Linked DNA regions of Drosophila melanogaster. The protein of the gene in region 1 interacts with the protein of each later gene in a biochemical or structural test. Each region holds a gene or a part of one and is shown on either strand. Other genes may lie near its edges.

What was found. Proteins that work in one complex are often made in the same cells at the same time.
Region 2: the proteins of side-VII (region 1) and beat-IV form a complex in vitro, tested with the Drosophila melanogaster proteins (one study listed by BioGRID).

Annotation. Positions count from the first base shown.
Region 1 is NT_033777.3:9,738,271-9,742,027, forward strand, and holds the start of side-VII (sidestep VII), read right to left. Parts: upstream 1,710-3,757; 5' UTR 1,051-1,709; coding exon 984-1,050; intron 681-983; coding exon 551-680; intron 459-550; coding exon 250-458; intron 120-249; coding exon 9-119; intron 1-8. Other genes in the region: Pnn (pinin), read left to right, coding at 2,739-2,872, 2,929-3,698.
Region 2 is NT_033777.3:23,555,415-23,559,171, forward strand, and holds the start of beat-IV (beaten path IV), read left to right. Parts: upstream 1-1,997; 5' UTR 1,998-2,459; intron 2,460-3,757. Other genes in the region: CG10164 (uncharacterized protein), read right to left, coding at 1-593.

The DNA of each region.
Region 1 (3,757 bases):
ATTCGTACCTCCAATTACTTGGCATTTCAGGGATACGATGTCGCCTTCGCTATATGGTCCCACAACTGTAGAACGCTCAACATTGGAGCTGTCTCGAATAATAACTTGTTTGGGTGGAGCTGGGTAAATTATAGGGGGATAGGATACAATACTATTATTATATACTCCAACAGATTGTTTAAGGAACTCAAGTAACGAGCAAAACCATAATTATAGCTTCCTGTTGCGATTTCAAAGTCAATTACTCACATATGACATTGAGCCTAATGCGGCTGTTTATGGTCTGCGCTTTCAGGAAGTCCACGCGACATCTATAAGTTCCGGAGTCGGATGCTTGCGTATTCTGAATTGACAGTTTTCCCGGTTCCTTGTCAAAGATAAAATATGCTCTATCCCCAAATACGGAGTCGTCCGACCATCTTTTCGGTGCTTTGGATACTCCAGCTCGAATGTCAATGCTAAAGATATATGGATGATAGTGTTTCGTAACAAGCAGGTCAAGTAAACAAAAAACTAATGAAAAATTACAAAATTAGTTTTATTAGTTTACCTGTAAATTGGAGTACCCTTATCATCTCGGTACCACAGAACCAGCACAGGTTCATCACCATCATAAGTTGTTACATTGCAAGGAAGATAAATATTTTCACCAACTATAGATTCAATTTGGTGAATTGGTACTGGAAAAATTAAGTTATAATTTGTTTTTATTTTAAGCTAACCATTTAAGATTTGGAAAGCTAATAATATACTAAGAGAAAATATGTAGGTACATATATATATATTTATATATGTATATATCACATGGCCTTAGCCGGTTAGCTAAAAAAGATATGTTAAATCAACCAAACCGCAATCAAAAATTTTTGCTAAAGAAATCAAAAAAAGTTTTACAGTTACATTCATTAATAATTTAATCATGCTCATTTTTGGATACTATTTTTTAAGCATTCTGAACATTGAAGATACAAGTTTTGACTTACCATCTTTACTTCCGATGCTGGATTCTATAAGTTGAAGTGCTAGCATAAACAGCAGCAGTAACTCCATGTTGTATATTTATTGGAATAGCACTGGTTAGTTGTTGATTACATCGACTTAATGACTTTCATATCTAGTACGCTATTGGCCACTATTGCAGATTGGTACGTTTAATTGGTTAGAAGTTACATTTTATCATCTGAATTTTCACGGAAGATGAGCACACCAACACTTGTGCATGAGCACTCAATTACACATCTACACGGGATATAACATTGTATGTATAACACATAGGTTTATATATTTTGCCAGTAGTTGCGTACACGGTATATCTAAGTTAAAGGATATTTTCGAGGATATTTGATAGTCTCGTATTTCATTTAGCACTGAAAACTGGTTAATAATGTTTTGAAGATTACTTAAATGGTCACGGTTTTGATTTTATTCAACGAACAAGTATGTATGTATGCGTGTATGTCTTTTCGTATGAACTGGTATATGTTTGACAAAATTCCAGGATACACTTTACTATATCTTATTCTTGTATGCGCACATTCACAGGATATTGAGTGCGGTTTCACTCGAAATAAATGTATTAAGCCATGCTTGAACTACTGTTTTTTTTTTTTTAATAAAAACCAAGGTGGAAAATAACGAGCACTGGCAGAAAGTTATATTACTTTTCTAGCCGCGATGCGAAACTAACACGTCGAAATTCCATCGCACTACACCTGCAAACCTGGGCTAAAAAGCTCCTCCGGCGGGCGCAGGCGCTTCGCAGGAAGCTTTTGATGTAAACATTGCAACTATGACCTTTGTACATGTGAATGTACGTGCATCCGCTTGTCTCGCTCAATATAATCGTCCTTCTTTTCTCTGAATATGATGTGTAATTGGTCGGCATCGAAACTTTGACTTCATACTGCACTCATTTCGATATTAACCCCTATTTTAGATGTCCTTGTCCATAGGCTTGCGTGTCCACATCGACATCACTAATTTCACGCTGTCCATTGTAATCTATTTTAAAAACAAGCTGAAAAGTCACGGAGGCGTGCAGGTCCGACCTTTTAATGTACGCGAAAGTACATATACTGTGAAAGCTCTCCGGACGGACAGCTGCAATGGTTCTCTCGACTTCTCTCGCTCTGATGACCGTCTTATCCTTTTTGCCGGACAAAGAAACTGAAACCTACGCAGTCCGCCCATGGTATCTAGTTTCATTTCATCTGCGAGTACAGATACTTTCAGGCGGACGAGAGGTTCAAGTGGGGTTACGTCAAGGTGCATGAGACTAGAAATGAGACTTAGGACAGTCACTTACTGATTGCTGATATGATTACTTAATCATAAATAAATTGGTATAAACAAAAACTATTATCATGTCATTGTTTTTAAATACAAATGCCTTATAAAGTTAAATTGAGAATACAAGAAATGTAGTTATATTTTTTTTATAGGGGATTCCCGAACAAGCATTTGTAATTTTTTCCCCATAGATAGTAGTTGGAGATTATTTCGGATTTTGAAAAGATAAGGAGATCGTTTAAAAGTATATAACAAATATATATATATAAAAGTAAAAACTATCGATGTCCCGTCACGACGAATCGATAGTACCAGGACCATCGCTGTTTTCCGCCAGCACTAGTAACCTCTCATCCCTAAGTATTGTTTTTTTACTTTTATGAGCATCTAATTGTACCGACTTAAGTAAAATAATTAATTAAACAAAACCTAACTGAAACGTGGGAACAATGGTGAATGACTCTGGTCTATCGACAGTGGACGACTTGGAGCAAAAACTGAATTCGGCCAAGCAGTCGCTGGTGATCCTAAATGAAAACATTCGCCGCATTGCTGGTCGCGTCCCCAAGGAATCCCTGCAGAGGTATGAATCCAAGTTGTGCTTAATTTAATTAATTACTTAATGCCGCTGCATTTCAGATCGGAAAAATTCAAATACACCCAAGATGGCAAGAAGAACGAGCACAATGGGGACCGACCGTTCCCCCGAAATGCAACACCCGGTGGGGTCTTCAAAGACAAGCGGCGAATGTACGAAAGCAAGAATCCAATTTCCCGTTTCCCAATCGAAGAAAACGAGGGTCGTCCGCCACGGATTAACTCGCGGGTCATCCGGGAGATGCCAACTAAAAAGGAGATTGTCGAGGCACAGGGCACAGACTCTGAGTCGAGGGCCAGGAATCGCAGGATGTTCGGATCGCTGTTGGGAACCCTACAGAAGTTCTGTCAGGAGGAATCGCGACTGAAGAGCAAGGAGGATAAAAAGGCTGAGATCGATAGGAAGGTGGAAAAGCAGGAACTGCAGGAAAGAGCGATGCTGAGGAAACAGCGTGAAACACTATTCTTAGATAGGAAAAAAAAGCAATTCGAGATCCGTAGATTAGAGTACAAAATGGCCAGAATGAAGGACTTCAAGGTCTGGGAAGCAACTATGTTGAATGCGAAAAATAACATCCGAACAAAAACGAAACCACATCTGTTCTTTAGGCCAAAAGTGCATTCGCCTAGAACGGAAAAATTGTTGAGCAAAAGCAAAAGTGAAGCTGATGTGTTTATAGAATTCCGGCGCGAAGAATTGGAAGTTGAGCTTAAAAACTTGGAGAACATGAACTTTGGGAAGATGGAAGACGATACTGCAATAGACGAAAGTTTCTATGAAGAGCCTGACGACGAAGAGCAGTTGGATAAGTGTAAGTAAACTTCAGTTTGCACTAGGGCTTGAAATATGATCGTGCGGATATCGCTGTGT
Region 2 (3,757 bases), about 14 Mb from region 1:
TCTTGCCGGCGAAGGCCTGAAAGTGGAATCAAGCTGGTGCAACGTGCCTGTGGAGTTGGTTCTGCTGGTCCAATTTTCCCATGAACATTTTTCATCTGCTCTAGCGTGCAGCAAATCTGATTCATACCTGGCATAGTCCGAAACAATAGTTTGCTGTCTTCTATTTTCATGTTGGTAATGCTAATGGATGTATCTTTCTCTTCCAGTCCAGCAATACTAAGGCTCTCCAGATCCTCTTTAAAGCGGCGCTCATTATCTGCATCATTCAGTACAGCCAATGCTTGAGAGCTTAGGTTTATAGGCATATCTAATTCTGGAGGTGGTTCTTCATCCTCCAGGAGGGGAAAATATTGCTGCTCTATATCTGCCTGAACCTTTTTCATCCGTTCCTTTTCTATGGAACTAAGCATTGCTTCCAAATCTGAACGATCCTCATATTTCGCACAGTCTACCAAAATAAATGGTGCAGCCTGGTCATCTATCTCTTGGGATTGGGGTTCCACGTTCAGTCGAATAGGCTCCGTGTTGACAACTCTCGATGGTTCAGGTTGTTCTACTTTTGGTGTCCGATCTCTACGACTCTTCTTCTTCATGACGGCTGAAAAATAATTATTTTTAGACTAAAAAATACTATTTGTTAAAAATATTTAATCAAAAATATACTTATTTTCTACCATCACATTTTCACATAAGCCTCCTAATTTTTTTTCGTACACCTTTTTATGTATCATTCAAGTCAAATTAGCAGCGCCAATCGCATTGTGCTTGATTGTGGCCAAGTCGGCAAAGCCGTGATTAGGCCAACAAGAAACACTCACCTGGTCGCCACGAACTCGATGCTGCCACTCCCACGGTTGTTGTTTCGCTGTTGGCTCGGCTGCAAACAGAAATTTAAATCCCTCAAAAGTACTCGGCGAAGAAAAACGAAATTGAAAAGGATAAAAGTTTTGCGTGCCCCAGAATCAACAGGGACGAACCTTCAGCCCCTGATCCAGCTTCTGCTCCTGAATTTTGCTCCTGTCTTGGCTCCTGGGCACTTGTAGCTGCCTCTGGCCAAAAAGTGGTGGATAGTAGGAGGAGCGTTGGCGGACAGGAACACAATCCGTAAACCAAAACTTTATTTTGTGCTGATAAAAACTTAAATGTTGCTGCCGCTGCCACGCAATCGTAAATGTTTGATATCCCCAAAGGTTAACAATTTCCGTTGCCGCTTGGATCTGCTCTGCTTCGGCCCAAGTTAGTTTTCTTTATTTTGTTTGCCAAGAATTTTGCGGTTGGCCAACTAAACCGCATACACACAGCTGGTGTGGGAGTGTCTTTGGGCTGTCTGTTCGACTGCTGTGAATGTTTTTGTTTGTGTCTAGAATGGGACCAGGAATACGGATAGGGCCCCTGCTACTTGGGGAAAGGCGTACTCTGTTCAATTTAGATCATCTATGTGGAGCTATAGGAATGGACAATCCTGTATTCCGGGAGCTGGTGTTCCCAAATTTTGATATTCAAAATGGTTCTTCGAAAGTCACTGCGCCTGACAATTACGGCAATGCTTTAAATTATATTGTAAAAATAAGAAAACGAAAATGTTGTTCTCCATCTAATACTTTCTCACTCATTACAGCAGAAAACGAATAAATATATGCAATTTCTTTCTTAAATTGTATAAAGAATTTATATTTTTAATAATCAACTCTGAACTCAAAACTACGATTTCCCTAAAAATTGTGAGAGTAAATGCTTTTTTAAAACAAAGCAAATTAAAGCAAAGCAAAAATTTGAAAGTAAAGCAGTAAGTATCATACCAAGAATTTAATTCTTAACTGAGCGTGAAGGGCAGAGCACTAGAAATGCCCTTTCTCTTAACTTTACGATATTCGCAGCCCCACTCACAGGACTAAAAAGCTCTCTCTGCCGCCCAGAACAATAAGTTCCGAGGACTCGGCTCGAAGCGCACACGACGATTCATAAACAAATCGAGCTGTTCCTGGCCGTGGCGATTCAGTTGAATTCGTTACGAGCTGGCGAAAGGACGTGCTTGGCGGTCGTCGTCGTGGTGAAAGGCTATTATATCGAGTGGCATTCGGTGTCTGAGGTCCACGTTCGTGTGTCAGAGTTTGGCCAAAACTAAGGCGCGAAAACACATTTGCGGCGAGTGCGATTTTGTCGAGTTTTACTCAGTGTTTTCCATCGAGCTTTCTTAGCTTGCTAAAACGTGTGCGGGCAATTAAAGTTTCTAGCGTCCCACTGACTGATGGTCGCGCAAATGGCCATTGCAAATTGCATGTTTTCGTGGCGAGTAGTGCATGTCGCAGCATGACACCGAGAGCCCAATAGCAAATGCATGTGAGCCAGCCGAAGAGGGCTTAAAGTGTTTTTTGGCCAGCCCTTGTTCGCCAAAGTGGAATTATCGTCCAGCAAGACAAACGGCACGCAAGGCCGGGCTAATGAAAGCCCCATCAAAGGCAAGTGCAAATTTGTGCTAGGGGTTGGGCAGGAAATCTAATTAAAGACGAAATGGCAAATGCGGAGCATAAAATAATTGCAAATGTAGATGAAACCTGGTGGCAGCATGTGAGTCCCAGGAAATGGGTTTCGCTTGACAAAAAACAAAACCCCAACCACACAACCGAAAGGAATTCGCATACATATCAAATTTATGAAAGGCAACCTCACACACACATTTCCACATGTGGCTATGTGTGTGTGTGAGAGTGAGTGCCCTGGCCAGAACTGAAATTTATTTATTTGTTTTCCTTACTTACGAGGCAGAAGGGACAGGAAAAAGTAAAACTACACCGGCAGCTGAGTTCGGAAAACTCTAATAAAAACAAATGTTGAACAATGGATGTGTGGCACTTTAAATTACTGAAATATGTTCGCTAGTCTTGCAACTTTCAGTAACATGAGAAAAATGATTACCTATAAAATATTTTTAACACTTGTTCAATCATTTTTTGATTATCCAATGATTAGTCCTTTTGTGGCAAAGTCCTTTAATAAACACTTACCAAGTTCAGTTCGTTGGCTCTGGGAAAACATACAGAGGTGGTCAAAAGTATTTTCACAACGCACAATATTTGCAAACTTCAACTTCTTTTTGTTATATTTCTTCTTGTTGTTGTCCGATTTGCCTGAAATAGTTCTTATCGCTTAGCTTGATCTATGCAGAAGGTAGTCGAAAAGAAATACGAAAGATAACGGTTCATAGTACAAAGCTTAAAGCAAAAGAAAATATGCATGCAAGTTGTCAATAGTATTTTCACATGTTTATTGCGCTTCAAAAGTATTTTCACTCAACTTAATTTAGTAAATTTCAGCTTAACATCTAATTTCAACATAAGAATTTCTTTATTTTATATAAATACAATACTAATATTTTGTAACACCACCTTTGGCATCAATAACTGCTTGAAGTCTTTTTGGTATTGACCTTACCAAAGTTTGTGCAAATTCTAATGTCAATTTGGACCAAATCTCCGCTATTTCAATGATGGCTCCCTCTCGTTTTCTATTTTTATCAATAGTTCGTTGGTTTTTAATAAAAGCCCAAACGTTTTCAATGATATTAAGGTCTGGGCTTTGGGGGGGCCACGGAAGAACCGCCAGATTAAGGTCGTTTAAAAATTTTGTTGGTATCCTACCCTTATGGCATGGAGCATTGTCCTGCTGAAGAATCCATTCAGTAGTTGGAAAAAGTCTATTTCCAGACGTAAAAGCATGGTTGTTTAAGATAAGAAGGTATCCGTTCTGATTTAAAGTT